Linked DNA regions of Schizosaccharomyces pombe. Changing the gene in region 4 together with the main gene of any one other region gives a genetic interaction. Each region holds a gene or a part of one and is shown on either strand. Other genes may lie near its edges. The genes, in order: rpt4, SPOM_SPCC622.01C, the13 and prw1.

Region 1 (4,460 bases), on a different chromosome or scaffold from region 4:
CATTGGCACCTGAACCACTTAGCCAACAAAGGGATAGCTTTGAACTTTGTACCACCGGCTATAGAGATACCGGTTCATGTACTTCGGATGATGAGGATTCGATTCATGAGCCTTACCGTCCCGCTTCCACTCAACCAACTGAAAACCCCCCAGCGATGCCTGATCATAACGGAAGTCCAACCACTGAGCCACCTAAACCAAACGCTTTTGAATTAAAAGAAGAACGTCTTAAAGAAATTATCAGCGGGGGATTTGCTCTGGTTGATGAGCTTTGCTCTCTGAATTCCAAGTTGTGGTTTTTTCGAAAATCAGTTTTAACGATTATGAAGACGACAGTATTGCATGGTCCTGGGAGGTTCTCGGCTCAAGTTGAACGAATGTTAAAGAACCAAATTTATGACAAGCTTTCAAACACTCAACTAGTGGGAGATTTATTAACTTCGTTAATCTTAAACGTATGGCCCGACGAAAAAAAAGCCATGGAATCACATTCGACAAGGGCACACAGACGTTCAACTGAATCTAAAATTTCCTTTGATAGCGAAGCCGATTCCCTTTTCGAAGAGGCTAGCAAATCTGTTCCTGAAGACCCTGTTTCAGTTTTTTGTGACGAGGAAAGCGATGAAAGTTTGAGATTACGAGCCGAAAAAACCCTTGTTGAAAACGCTTTATCTGAGAATTTTACTCTTATGCTTGGACAGTCAACCTCCGAGGAAAGCCTAAAAATTATTTTCGAACTGCTTCAAGAACCGCAATTCGTGCAAGGGTTCCTTGCACATTTACTTAGCAATGCTCTTCGTAGCATCATATAGTCAATCAAGGTATATCGCAAGTGTGCCGTATATTTATTTCTTTTCGCCGATATATACCTGGCATTTTAATGATTTTTACTTCTTTCCCTTTTTTATCATTTTGTTTCCCTTCTCTTACATTTTAAAATTCCATTAGCTTTTGGTCGATACGTGATGACCGGTTTCATGATTAATCGCAAAATCAAACGAACCTTTAGAACCATTCCCTTGTTTTCTACCTCGTTTGTTAATATTTTATTATCCTACTTTCTTTTATATATTTATTTATAAAATCGTATTTTCGACTTTACCTTGCTTTAAGATTTGTTTGTTTAAAGTTGGCGAAGTCGAGAACTATCTTCTCTATCTTTAGTCAAGTTTGCGTTAATTTATACATATTGAGTTTCGTTTATTCGGTTAATTGTTCGTTCCGTTTTACAAGCAATCTAGCTTTTTGTGTAAGAAAAAGTTAGACGTGTATATGTTTAGAAAATTTAGTTGTAGGAACTATGATATTAATTGACAATCATATTCTGACACAAGTGGTCAATTGAATTGGATTGTTCAACTTAAGAGACCAAGTTTTGGCGGATTAAGCATAATTTTTGTTAACAGAATGACTTGAAGCAACTACCAAATTGTTGACATAGCAGTACCCAAAATTTTACGAAGGATGAAATTTTTTAAAGCAGAAAACGTTCGTTAATTTTGAGATTAACAGTAATTCTAGCATCTTCAAAGTTTGATGTTTGCTCAACAAGTTTTTGTTTTTACGGATAGCGACAGGAGTGTAATACCTCTGGTTTCGAGAAAACTTAAATATGAGAAGTTTAAACAAAATAATAATGCATTTTCGGTTGGGGTTTCAGCATGAACTTGCAAAACTGAAAAGATACTCAATTCAAACTTCAAAATATTCTTTTAAAGAAAACTGTAGTCTAGTAATCATACTGCTATTATAGAAAAATATAATCTTACGCAAGAACAGATTCCGCTGAAATTCGCAATGCTTATTTAACGAAAACGACTTTAGTGAAGTTTTAATAATTTCTAAGAACGTAAAATACCGAGTAATTGGATTCCCATTTGCTAGTATGTTCTGACCAGAACTAACACATCTTTTGCGAAATAACCATGTCGGAAAGAGACACTGCTTTAGAGAAATATAAATCCTATTTATTACAACATCGAGAATGGGATTCAAAACTGAAGGATTTGCGTTTTGGAAATCGAGATCTAGTCAAGAAATATGATAAAACAGAGGATGATATAAAAAGCTTGCAGTCGGTTGGTCAGATTATTGGAGAAGTATTGAAACAACTTGATTCTGAAAGATTCATTGTAAAAGCTAGGTAAGTAATTACTCAAACTTTTGGGAGATTGTTTGCTTTACGTGGAGGATATATACAAGTGAAATGTGAAAATGGATGTGAAGACCTTATTATTAGTAATGCATATGTTGGGCGTTGAATTCCTTCATAAAGAATTTTTTGTGGCGTATGAATGGGAACCATGTTTAAATGCATATAATCATTTGCCCGTTCCTTTTTTTTTTTAAAGATAAGTTCAGTGGGCAAAATCTGTGTTCAAAAACTGTTTGGTTCTAACCTCTCCATCCAGCAAAAATTCTTTTTGAAATGCGCACACGGTATAAAAATCTATAACCGGAAGCATGAAACACTCTGTTTACTGGTTTCATAGCAAATCGTTGGGAAAGTAGATACCTCACGTATAGTCATCCTTCTCTTTTTACAAATCTATCGTTGCATTAGTACACTATTTTTTATTTCCTTTCATTATTTTCTGTTTCCCTAACCTATTCTAGCTCTGGTCCACGTTACGTTGTAGGTTGCAGAAACAATGTCGACCAATCTCATTTGGTTCAAGGCGTTCGTGTATCTTTAGATATGACCACGTTAACCATTATGCGTATTCTTCCTCGTGAGGTTGATCCTCTCGTTTACAATATGTCAATTGAAGACCCTGGTGACATTTCTTTCGCCGGTGTCGGTGGCTTGAATGAACAAATTCGTGAATTGCGTGAAGTTATTGAACTACCTTTAAAGAATCCGGAATTATTCCTTCGTGTGGGAATTAAGCCACCAAAAGGTGTTTTGCTCTATGGTCCTCCTGGTACTGGTAAAACTCTTTTAGCTCGTGCCGTGGCGGCATCTTTAGGTGTTAACTTTTTAAAAGTAGTTTCCAGTGCTATCGTTGATAAATATATTGGAGAATCTGCTAGAATAATTCGTGAAATGTTTGGCTATGCAAAAGAGCATGAGCCATGTGTTATTTTTATGGACGAAATTGATGCTATTGGTGGTAGAAGATTCTCTGAAGGAACATCTGCTGATCGTGAAATTCAGCGTACATTGATGGAATTATTGAATCAGATGGATGGTTTCGATTACCTTGGCCAAACGAAAATTATCATGGCGACAAATCGTCCTGATACTCTAGATCCTGCCTTGCTTCGTCCTGGTCGTCTAGATCGTAAAATTGAAATTCCCCTACCAAACGAAGTTGGTCGTATGGAGATTTTGAAAATCCATTTAGAAAAAGTCTCTAAACAAGGCGAAATTGACTATGAAGCATTGGTTAAACTGACAGATGGAACAAATGGTGCTGACTTGCGGAATGTGGTTACAGAAGCAGGATTCATAGCCATTAAAGAAGATCGCGACTATGTCATTCAGTCCGATTTAATGTCCGCAGCTCGTAAGGTTGCTGACCTGAAGAAACTTGAAGGTACAATTGATTACCAAAAGCTTTAGTGCACATATATCCAAAAAGCCATGAAATGATAAGTTTACCGATGAAGATTATACGCGCAACTGCATAGTTATGATTAAAAAGGTCGAATAGTAAGTGAAACGTTTACTTTTAATATATTCCGACTCTTTTGGCTTTTATCATGTATATATGAATATGCTTGATGGGAATCTATGTATATTATCGTAAGGCATATCTGTGATAGTACAAACTGATTTTCTTCAATATTTGATTATGTTTTCCATATCCTCCAAATACCAAACATTGTTTTTCCACTCTACATAATTTACTGGCGACAAAAGAAAAAATGATCAAGTAAAAATAAACAATTAATTATACACATGAATTAAAAGTAAAGCAAATGTTTGACTAGAAATTATTAACTAACCAAATGCACTGAAGTGTAAAGAACGAACTAAATATATTGAACGAAACCCGGTTCAAAAATGCAAAAATTCTTCTCTTCCCAGGAAGGATAGTTTGAAGTTATCCTTAAAAGGTAGTAGACCTTTGACAAAGAAACGAGGAAAAACGTCTAGTACGCTAAGATAAAAGAATAAGAGAGGTGAAAATCATAGCTGGCTTCATATAAGCAGCCAAACTAGTTATTATAGTACTAGATGAAGCTGAATGCGCAGTTTAGAAGTCATTTTATCCCATAATTTCAAGAAAGTAAAGGCAAGATAAAGATAGCCAGATAGAGTCATTGAAAAAGACGACGAAAAGGCGTAAAACAAAGAGCGCAGAAATGAATAATCTAAAAAATTACAAATGAAGTATTAACGTATTAAAAGGAAAAAAGTATGAAACGCAAATAACTGATAATAAAATGATTAGCAAGCTAGTTTCTTTAAAATCGGCGTACAGTTTCCCTCTTTTTGTTTGTCAAAGAAGAGT
Region 2 (3,977 bases), on a different chromosome or scaffold from region 4:
AACTTACAAGAAGAATTATTAAAGTCAAGAAAAAATAGACGAATAATAATGAATGACTAAATCCCTCAAAATAATACTTAACATCAACAACACAATTGGCAAAAATTATGAAAAGGAAAACGTACAAGAGCCATTGAGTTTTTTTAAACACATCGTTCGCAACATCTGAACACTCCCTATAGGTAAAATCCTCCTTGATAACTATTTCAATGTCAGGTTGTGTCATGTTGATAAATATAACACAAAATTTAGCAGATATTGGCCAGAAAATGAAAATGCTTTTGCATAAGAAGAATAAATATTTATCAAATAATACAGAATATTTAGGTCGGGATTGTGTAGGCAGAGAAATTGAATATATTGGTTGAATATCAAAATCGTTAAACCTCTGGTCTTGCGCTCCAATTACTCATTAACAACGATTGTCGAAATCCTTTGACTTTTAAGCATTTTATTTCATATTAATATTTTTTCGCAATTTTTCTTGTTTTTAAACGGATTTGTTCAAACTAGCTGTTTTGCCTCCCACAAAAATATGAATCCAAAGAAATCCATTCAACTATGGGAACTCCAGTCGTTACTTAAAGGTGCCACATACAAAAAACTAATTGAAAAGAAAACGTATGAAGCCGGTAAGGAACGAGCTGATAATTATGACTTTTTGTTTATGTCTTTTATCTCCTTCATCGTGTCTTGCCGTCTTTTCATTCTTGTGTTTACTTTCATCTTTAAAGGTTTTCCATCAGCTATTCAAGTAATTGCTATGATCGATGCTGTCGTAAATGCTTTACTCATACTCATAGTACTTGCGATGCTCTTTATAGGTTCTCGTAAACTGACAGTTGAAATTCGACGAGGTGAAGTTGAGGACTTTCAAGAGAATCTTAAAGCAAGAGAAGATACATTCAACTCTTCTCCATATCAGAGGTATTAATAACACCTTCATATATCGCTTTTGGGCACCTATTCCTTTACGCCTGTTTCACTTTGTTATAAAATATTTCGTTTCCATTCCGCTGCCTTTAATCTTATTACTCCTTTAATATTTATTCAACATTTAAGTCACTACTAATCTAAAAATTAACTTAATAATTCAATACTATTTTTATCTAAAACGTATTCGTTTCATAAACTTGTCTCGTAATGCGAAATGGAAGTGTGTTGAATACATCGACCCTGAACGAACTCATCTTCCAAAATTTAGAGCACTGTTCGATATACTGGTTTGTACTATTCCTATATTTTCGACACCTCTTCATATTTCATTTTGAACTTCAATTCATTTAATATATCATTCACAGATTAATTAATAAAATACAAATTATCATCTATTCTACATGTCTGCCTCAAAAACTCGGCTCACAATGTCACCGATTATGGCATTCTCCTTATTATATTAGACAAGCACTTCAAAAACATAATTGAAACAAAATATACGGCCAATTAAGGTGCTTCTTGAGCGGGACTGGACATTTGTTGCATAGGAATTTGCACCAAATCCTCTGGAACGGTGACTTTAAGCGGATGTTTCGACAAGAAATAGTAAAGGATGTTTCCAACAAGCATCAACGTAGAGCACAAAATTATGGGCAACCCGTGCTCCATTGTGTCTTTCCTGGATGAAGGATGCGACATTTCTCGAATGAAAGCGATCAGGCAGTAAATGAACGCAATTCCGAGCCCAGCAAAGTTACTAATCAAAAGAGGAAGTGTGTATTGAAATTTGTTTAAAGAGGACACCCATAACTTGTGAGAAACTTCTGGGTCTGGGGAAGAATTCGGTGTATTATCAATAATTGCTTCAAGTTTCGAGATATTTGCTGCCATCGTGAAACTGTTCAGCAGAAAGAAAAGAATCAAAACAGATGTCCAAGAATAGAAAAAAAGAAAAGAAAATCAAACTGTGAATGTCGCTCCTTCAGCGCTTTCCAACACCGGATTTCTTGCTTCGGGTAGGTAGGGTTCAAGGACATTTTCCACATTTGGGCTAACCGCAGTATCCTCCCTCTTTACTCAGTGTAGCAGCGGGTATAGTGAAAACCACATCGGAATGACGTTGTTGTAATAAAAAATACCTGAAAACTTTACTTTGACTTTTTGAAACGTACTTATTCCTAATTCCTTCCTGTAAATTCACTTTTCCTACGATGACTGTGGATAATGTATTCATCCATGCCGTCCCTCGCGAGCAAATTCGACGACGTTACTCTTACTTCGAAGCATTTGAAAAGAATTGTCATATACAAGGAATTCTTTCAAAACGAGCTCTTTACATGCTAATCCCATGCTTCATGGAGTTTGCGGTTGGCTCCATCGTTTATAGTTTTGGTGTGCCGGGATGGGTGTTGGGAATGAATACTGTGTTGGCGGCTGGATTCCTTGTGATGTTCCTGTTCCTTGTGTGGCCGTGTTTTCAACTTGTAGATGAAAGACAAATTGAGGAACCGGGAGAAGATGAAATGGCGCTCAATGCCGGTGGTTATTATCCTTATGCCGAAGAGGTACCTCCTCCCAGTTATCCATCGCTCGAAGAGGAGAACGAAGGAAACGAAGAAATAGAAGAAAGTGAAGAAATGAACACCCTTTTATCAAAATAAAAAAAGTGGTTCATATGAATGGTGTGACGGTGGCGCTGATTTTCAATCCGACTCAATCCATTCAAATGAGAATTCCGTAAATGCAGTGCAATAAGAAAGCATTGGGAATGTGATTAGCCAACGATATGTCTTACTGTGTTTGATTCTCGTATTTTCATTTAATTTATTGTGTCTCGAAGAACAAAGAGGAAATTACCCGCGATATTTATTTACTTACATTGGCGTTCCCTTTAACTTCCAAAACACTTTTTTTTAATCAAGGAGATTTGGTTTTATTATATTAAATTGTCTTTGTACTTGCAATTATACTTTTTTTCGATTTTTTATTTGTCGTTTACTTCCAACTCAATGAATCATGATCTTTCAAACATAGCTGGCCTCTTCAATCCTTGATGATGCGTGTTTGCATGTATATTTGCATACAATTATCCATATCCTTAGACAAGTACGGGTTATATATAGTATTGAGGCTACATCTACTGCTTGTTTAGCGTTGATAAAATTGATCGCACACATGCATAAGGCCCATTCACCATGCTTGCATAAATCGATTGCAGAGCTTTACCATTGTTTCCGACTAATATAAAACTAAGCAAAGATAGGAATTCCATAATAGCTCAGTTTTTCCACCTCGCAAACATTGCATTTCACTTCCTTTATTTATTTACTCACCTTATACCGAGCGCTCTAATACTGAGATAACGGCTATATTAAGAGTTGCCTTAGCGAAACGGGGTGCAAAACCCATAGTTATCCATGCGTCCCTTTATAAATTTTTTTAATGATGCGCAAAAGTGCAATGGTCTCTGTAATTCCATTACTAAGGTAATGAATTACTATAATATTAATTTTAATAAACAATATTGTGTTGCTTAACATTATCATTACTCTCAAATAGGTTACAAGTAAATTGAGAAATGTGGATTCAATTGTATTGCAAAAAAAATATTGGAATACCAAAAAAAAAATAATAATGTAATAAAAGGGTTTTATACCGAGCAAAAGTAATAGCATTTGCTACGAATTCTTACACTCAGCCAGATGCAAGAATTTGCTTGGATAAAGGAATTGCCGTCAACTTTATTAAGATAACTGATGCATCGATTTTTATCACAATGCTTCCCACCATTTATTAAAGTTTTTTTTAAATAACAAAGTAAAGAGAATAAAAAAATTAAACTCGAATATCATTAAAAAATTAAGAAAATGAGAAAAACGAGTTAGACAAAGATTTGAATGAAACAATGATTGAATATATAATGAGTATGCTAGGACGACTAGAGAGTTTCCCAATTTCATTAGTTAATTATGACAGTTAATTAGTGAACTACTGTTTTCCGAATAAATAAAATCATACTTTTAATCTTCATAAATCGCGTC
Region 3 (3,332 bases), on a different chromosome or scaffold from region 4:
GAAGCTTTGGCTTGTTATTCTAGCCTATTTAATACCAGTAATTCGACTCGCTCTTGATCACCATCCACCTTCGGTCTCGCGATGATTGCTTATCTGGCATTTATGGAAGATTGATAATCGTAAATAAGTTTATTAGTTGAGTACACTGGATTTTGTTCTATTCAGCTGAATAAAGAGAGATTACAACCGCCAATTTAAACCTTTTGAAGTAGGTTCGCAAATTGTCACCATGCAAGCAGAATTCAAGTCTAGTATCAACGACTTCCTGGAACAGTTACCAAATCATGCAAGGCTTTACCAAAAGCCAGCTGCTTGTCTTGCTGTGTTTCGTTTATTGCCAATTCTAGCTAGACAGTATGTCATGTCTATGCTTTTCAATCCTATGCCAGTAGCACTCTCAGATTTCGATTTATGGATCAAACTTTCGAGTAAAGTTTATCAATCTGAATCCTTCAACAAACTGGTTAGGATGCATATATTTCAATTTGATGGACAATATATCACTCTAAATAGTGAATTTCGCAAACAATTTATAACTGCTCTGACTGGAGGGTAAGTTTTATTGAATTTTGAGTATAAACTAATTAAGCTTTTTAGAGGAAATCACAATTCGTTTGGCGTGCCATGTACCGATGAAGACAAGCACTTGGTGACGGTTGATTTTCTTGACGCATATGCGAAAGAAACTTGGGAAACAATCTTGCACTTCATGGTAGGAACTCCGGAAGCTAAATTTCCTGGAGAAGGTGTCTTAAGTCTATTAAAGCGGGGCGGTTTAATGTCTGGTCCAAAAAACCAGCTACGTATTACCCGTGCCGGTTTTCAGTTTCTGTTACAGGATATAAATGCTCAAATTTGGACGTTACTTTTGGATTATTTAAAACTATCTGAAGACACGCATATGGATCCTGTTCAGGTTTTGCACTTTTTATTTATGCTTGGAAGTTTGGATTTGGGGAGGGCATACTCAGTGGACTTCTTAACAGATACACAACAAATCATGCTTGAAGACCTAAGAGAATATGGATTAGTTTATCAAAGAAAAATTACTTCCAAGCGTTTCTATCCAACCAGACTGGCAACAGGTCTGACAACTGATTATCGCTCATTGCATGGAAAGCAAAGTGAAAATGATGATGATAAAGGTTTTATTATTGTAGAAACAAATTACCGATTATATGCTTACACAAGCTCCCCATTACAGATTGCCATCATCGGATTGTTTGCTAACTTAAGGGCGCGTTTTTCAAATCTTGTTGTCGGTGTGATAACTCGGGATAGTATTCGTCGTGCTTTGATGAATGGAATTGCAGCGGAGCAAATTATTACATACTTGACAACTCATGCTCACCCTCAGATGAGATCGAATGTTCCTCTTTTACCTCCTACATTAGTAGATCAAATTTATTTATGGGAATTGGAAAAAAATAGACTTCGGGCTACTCCTGGAATTTTGTTTCGCGATTTTCTTACTGATTCTGGCTTCGACCAAGCAGTAGAGTACGCAAAAGAACTCGGGGTTTTGGTTTGGGACAGTTCCTTGAAAAGAATGTTTTTCATAACTACGACAGGCGCCCAGCCCATGATCGCATACTTGAAAAGACGAGCTGTCAAATGAATATTTTTTGGATGGTTCAAAAGAGAAGTGGTAATTAGAAAATATTAAATTAATCTCAAATCACTTGTAAGTAATTTACTGGTGTCAATAAACATATATATAACATAAGCTCAACATTAGCCATGTTAACTATACGCGTGTTGGATATTTATACGAAATTCAAGTTTTAATGATGCAACTCTTTAACGTTCAAATTATGAATTTCTTCTTCTCGTCATTAGAAAAAAAAAATATCCGTTATTTGAATAATCCAAACAATATTCATATTCTTGTATTTAATGTTCATTTAATTATATTACCATTTGTAATAATGATTTGGTGATATTACTATAGGCAGGCAAATGGCTTGTAAATCCTTACTAACTACAAGTATCGCTGCTGCGAGTAGCCAAGAACTGCCACAACATAACCAATTCACCTGAGGTACTTACTTTTACAGTGATTGATACCTGTTAAACGAAGTTTTAAGACACAATGGCAATTAATAGCTCTGGTACTAAGGTGCTTTCTTTCGTTCGTTCTGTTTGGCAGGATTTTGTAAATACCAATGGGTTTGATGCTCATGTAGTCAGTGATATACAAATTATAAGTGCAGTTCCAGGATTTGTAGAATGCTCTCTGAAACTGCAGAAGCATCACCTAAATCGTATGGGTAATTTGCATGGCGGTTGTATTGCAGCACTCACTGATTTGGGAGGAAGTTTAGCATTGGCCAGTCGAGGGCTTTTTATTTCTGGCGTGTCAATAGATATGAATCAAACTTTTTTACAAAGTGGTGGTACTTTAGGTTCATCAATTTTACTGCACGCAAAGTGTGATCGATTAGGATCAAACATTGCTTTTACGAGCGTTGATTTTTTGACATCTTCTAATGAGGTCTTTGCTAAAGGTAGGCATACTAAGTTTGTTCGAAATGCTTTAGGAGATCCTAGAAATTGCCTTGACTTAGCCGAAGATTAATTCTGCCTATATTTTATATCTTTCTCTGGCTATTCGCTTTTTCTGCTCTGTTTTACTCGCTAATGTTGATATGTTTTACACGATTTTTTCAGTTTTCATAAATTTAGGAATTAAAATAAGGGATTTTGCTATCCGTCGTTATCTATTGTAAGCTCATGTTATGGTTCGGAACATGCTCGCGTTTTAGTTTACAGTCACCGGTTTCCTTTTAATAACGAAACTTGGGCTGAATTCGCTCATGAAAACACTTAGTCCGGAAGGGAGTTTATGGGTGTTTGGTTATGGCTCTTTAATTTGGCATCCGCCTCCTCACTATGACTATAGTATTCCATGTTTTATAAAAGGTTATGTTCGCAGATTCTGGATGCGTAGTGAGGATCATAGGGGCACTGTTAACTCACCTGGTCTCGTTCTCACCTTGATACCTTATGAAGAATGGAAGCAATTTTCTGACTGGTCTTTCACCCCGTTTGATGAAGGATGCTGGGGTATGGCATTTCGCATTCCTGCAAAATATGCGACGCAAGTGCGAGAATACTTGGATGATAGAGAAGTCAATGGTTATACCGCCCATAGTGTTCCCGTTTATGCCCATACCGGTGATGAAATTCCGGTTTTGGAGAATTGTCTCGTTTACGTGGGTACTTCAAAGAGTCCCCAATTTCAGCCCTCAGACGACCTAACTCAAATGGCTAAAATCATTTCTACACGAAGAGGAAAGAGCGGAGATAACTTTGTTTATCTATTTGAGCTT
Region 4 (4,023 bases):
AATTTTTGTTTATGGATCTGTTAATCATATTTCCACTGTCAGCAGCTATGAGTTACTTCGACCCTGCTCAAAATTTGACAAGCAATCGCCCTAATTCAACATTGTTTGGCAAAGGAAGAGTAAAGGATTTAGGAATTCAATCAGTATTAATATGGCTATCCCATGGCTTGCTGACTTTAATACTACACGAGTTGAACTGGGTTGAATTACCTGAATGGCAACTTGAAAAATCAAATACGAAAAACGTGCTAGTGACTAGCATATTTCTTTTAAGTTCTTTACAATATTTAGGAATTTGTATTGGAATAAACCAAAGTTCCGAGTTTTTGTCACCTATTTGGAAAAAAAGTAAGTGAAAATCCTGTCTTTTGTTTATTAACATCTTATGATATAGAAACTTATGTATGTTTGTGTACTACCATTGGCCTTTGCAATATCTATCTATGTTTTGCAAATGAAAATCACATTATCTCTAGGTGTTTGCAAATCACACGTCTACCGACACTGTATCGTTTCATAATACTTTTTATGGGAGTTATCTCGTGCTGCCTTACGAGTATTCTGAACATGTAAAAAAAACAAAATTAAATATATATATGTTAATCAAAAACTTGCTTTTATGTGCAATTAGGGTAGAAAAAAAAAGGAGTTAAAGAGAGAAACAGGTTTGGGACATTAAGTAAAATATCAATGAATGTTGTATACGACCGGTTAACTTAAATATGCCGTAGCATCTTCCTCTAATTGTTCATTACCCCAAATTGAGCGAGAAGGTGTCCAAATTTGAAGAATATTATCTTCAGCAGCGGTTGCCATTGTCCAATTATAATTAGGACACCAATCCATGTCAATTGTACAAGAAGTATGGCCTCCGTGCATAAAAAGAAGCTCCGGAGGACCGTCTTGAGCTTCCTCAGCAGGCTGATCTTCCCCGATTCTTGAAAGATCCCAAACTAAGGTCCTTCTATCGGCTGAGGTAGAAGCAAGAATAGGCTCTTCATGAGGAGAAAAGCTAATTTTTGTTACAATGTCTTCATGTCCTTCTAATGTATGTAAGCGTTGATTAAGGTTCCGTAAATCCCAAAGTGCAATGGTTTTGTCAGTCGAACAAGTAGCCAAAATAAAGTCGTTATGAGGGTTGAAAGCAACAGAATGAATAGGACCGCTATGGGCATGCACACTTCGAGCTGGCTTTGTGGAAGCATCAGGGCGACGAATATCATGAACATGAAGGTACTGATCATAGGAAACTGAAGCAAGAAGATCCTGGTGCTTATAATGAAAGCGTACATCACTGACCTGTTTTTCATGGCTGCTTATATGCACTTTCAAAACTGACGCTGAATCTGACTCGTTGTAAGCATTCAAATCCCAACAAGAAAGAGTAGCGTCTTGCGATCCAGAAACCAAAGTACCCTTAGAAAGAAAATTCCAACAAACACTAGTACAGGGCTGGGTATGTTTGGTCAATCTATATTTGGGCTTAAGAGGAGACTCACTAGCCGAGCTATAAGATTCGAAGGATTCCTTGTCAAAAACCAACACATCATTATGATAGTTACCCACCGTAGCTACACAAGAATCGTCTTGTGGCATAAGCTTCGCACTACAAACAGACTCAGGATGAGAATAAAGATTTGAGATATTAACACGTAGAGAAGACTCGTCACCCGCAGATGCTCCCTCCATTGTAGTAGGAGGAACAGTCTGATTTAAATAGGGTAATTGAATAGACGCAACAGCTAGTAAGTATTTGCCAACATCAGCACGAACTCCCAGAAACATTTTCTGCTCAGTATATCCATGTTCTGCAAAACTATAACAAAAAATAATGGTAAGTTTTTTGAGTCACATAAACAAGATTAAACATTATGATTCAAATGATTGACTTACATTTGCTGCTCTGGATACCATTGTAGTGACATACAAGGCCATTCCAAAGCTCTAGTAATTATTAAATCGTAAAGGAACGGTGAGTTCTTTTTCCAAATTTTATACTCTGTTTCAGATTAGAAACACATTTTACATTGATCAACTAGAAATTGTATGTTAAAACGTTGCAGACATACCTTCATTGATGCATTTTTCTTGATTTATTCCCTCCTCCGAAGCCTGCGCTTGCTTGGAAGGATGGGGAACAGCTGATACAGCCATTATGTTCTAGTTAAAATGATTGAATCTGCTTTTTGGTGGATGGTGAGTAGACGCGTGCAGCGCTAATGTGCACACTAAGTGTTCTTAAATAGGTGCAGGTTGGTTTATAAATTAAGATTGTTTAGGTTTTATATAATCACAGCCGTATAGATGTTTAAATGGGAAAAAACAATAGAAACTTAATCTTGTCTCATGCTTCGGCTAGCGTCTTTTCATCTTCTCTCTCGACCTGAGATGCGTTTCCACAGTGCTAGAAATTGCAACTTTTAAAGAGACTGTTAATTGTAAAAAGTTGAATTACTAAAAATGATTATGTTTGCTGAACATATGTATACAGAAGTGAGATATAATTTGGGTAGCACAAGCTTCCCGATGGACTGCTATAAGACACAAGATGGAAAGATAAATTTATAGAGCTGAGAGTTAAGAATCTTTAATTTAGATGAGTTTTTTTTTACTTTGCTTTCATGCTAATTTCATCTACTCTAACTTCTGCATGAATCAGTGCGTCAAGAACAGAAACACTTTGAAGCTTTTTTTTAGTCACACAAGGCAACAACCGCTTGAGAAGCAGGATTATTAAAATTGGTAAAAAAATTATGTTCCTCTTAGTTTTAAGGTACATTCAACTTGTGTATCGCCAATAGCAAAACGCAGCCAAAATTTCTGAAGTTCTCCTTTTTTTGAATATTCAATTGAGCGTGAATAAAAAGTATATGATTTAAAATAATGATCTCCCACCTGTTCTGCAATCCTTGGAAAATGCATCAAGTCATACTGAAAACCAAACGAGCAAGAAGCCGAATTCAAGATGCCCTCGTATTCTTGCGTACCCTTAGTAAAAGAAATGAGAAATATATTTAATTTAATTGTTAAAATGAAGACAATCCCGTTTCAATATGTATGCCGTTCTTTACATCAAGAAAAAAGAACTTCGAAGCAAGTCATACCAAACTAAAAGATCGTTGATCTTAAAAAGGAACATTATTAATTTTAGAAACGATGATGAAGAAGCACAAAATTACCTTTCACTTAAATACTTCGTACACAATACATTTGTTTACATCTTTCTCTTATAATAAATCTACCTTAAGACACACACTTTCTCAGTAAGCTGATTAAGAAAAAGCAACGAAGATACTTTATCCATCTTTTATTTACATCTTCGAGACATGACGTTTCGTAATAATTCCCACCTTTAGACTAAACCGTTTCCACCAAATTTGTACCTTTTCTATTATTTTTCTTTATTTTTTACTCTCACATAATGAATTGTTTACTTCTAGGAAGAGGATTCTTGCACAGGTTTCACCCATTTCGCCCAGTCTTGTGTGAAGATTCGGCAAGTGCTGCAACTACTATCACCTCTCAATTTAAGCTGAATTACCGTCAAATCTTTATTGGAAGCTCTCTTGGTTTAGCAGCCGGATTTGCTTTAGGAAAATTGGGCCGTTTATTCATCGTTGCCTGCTCCGCCGTTTTCGCTACCATTGCTGTAAGTGCTTAAGTTTGATTCTTTATTTATATTTAGAGGTTTTAAAAACCTTGTGTTTCGCACTGAAAATCGTATTTATCTTTCATAATACTAACACAATACGTTTATTAGTATATTAACAGTAAAGGTCTGATCCGAATTAATTGGCCCCAGCTGCAGCAACAAGTTATAGGTCCTACGGAGCAGTATACTGGATTTCATTTCCCAAGTTCAGGTAGGTTTAATACTCAATCAACATTTCCTACCATTCGTAATTGGATCTGTACAAACCCCAATTTCAAGCTGAGCTTCTTTTCAGCTATGTATGTTGGATTTGTGTCATCATAAAAGTGGCTGAATTTCACCACAACACATTTCGATTTTGATACATTGTT

The links.
Region 1: mutations in prw1 (region 4) and rpt4 together harm fitness more than expected from each alone (negative genetic interaction), as found in Schizosaccharomyces pombe (one large-scale study listed by BioGRID).
Region 2: mutations in prw1 (region 4) and SPOM_SPCC622.01C together harm fitness less than expected from each alone (positive genetic interaction), as found in Schizosaccharomyces pombe (one large-scale study listed by BioGRID).
Region 3: mutations in prw1 (region 4) and the13 together harm fitness less than expected from each alone (positive genetic interaction), as found in Schizosaccharomyces pombe (one large-scale study listed by BioGRID).

What each region holds. Positions count from the first base shown.
Region 1 is NC_003421.2:403,687-408,146, forward strand, and holds rpt4 (proteasome regulatory subunit Rpt4), read left to right. Parts: upstream 1-1,914; 5' UTR 1,915-1,925; coding exon 1,926-2,143; exon of another isoform or gene 2,144-2,197; intron 2,198-2,565; exon of another isoform or gene 2,566-2,616; coding exon 2,617-3,565; 3' UTR 3,566-3,909; downstream 3,910-4,460. Other genes in the region: mug122 (PX/PXA domain protein), read left to right, coding at 1-812.
Region 2 is NC_003421.2:1,402,926-1,406,902, reverse strand, and holds SPOM_SPCC622.01C (uncharacterized protein), read left to right. Parts: upstream 1-2,001; 5' UTR 2,002-2,147; coding exon 2,148-2,597; 3' UTR 2,598-3,452; downstream 3,453-3,977. Other genes in the region: SPOM_SPCC622.04 (uncharacterized protein), read right to left, coding at 1-226; SPOM_SPCC622.03C (uncharacterized protein), read left to right, coding at 536-934; SPOM_SPCC622.02 (uncharacterized protein), read right to left, coding at 1,444-1,827.
Region 3 is NC_003423.3:3,753,841-3,757,172, forward strand, and holds the13 (acyl-CoA thioesterase), read left to right. Parts: upstream 1-2,008; 5' UTR 2,009-2,092; coding exon 2,093-2,578; 3' UTR 2,579-2,809; downstream 2,810-3,332. Other genes in the region: transcription factor TFIIH complex subunit Tfb2, read left to right, coding at 230-552, 598-1,618; glutathione-specific gamma-glutamylcyclotransferase Ggg1, read left to right, coding at 2,817-3,332.
Region 4 is NC_003424.3:5,109,721-5,113,743, forward strand, and holds prw1 (histone chaperone, Clr6 and Rpd3L complex subunit Prw1), read right to left. Parts: upstream 2,163-4,023; 5' UTR 2,155-2,162; coding exon 2,070-2,154; exon of another isoform or gene 2,000-2,069; coding exon 1,894-1,999; exon of another isoform or gene 1,817-1,893; coding exon 712-1,816; 3' UTR 574-711; downstream 1-573. Other genes in the region: Ca(2+)/Mn(2+)-transporting P-type ATPase P5 type Cta5, read left to right, coding at 1-348, 395-573; fun14 (integral mitochondrial outer membrane (MOM) protein), read left to right, coding at 3,422-3,649, 3,761-3,976. UniProt on the Schizosaccharomyces pombe protein: Has a role in chromatin assembly and chromosome segregation. Involved in the deacetylation of histones.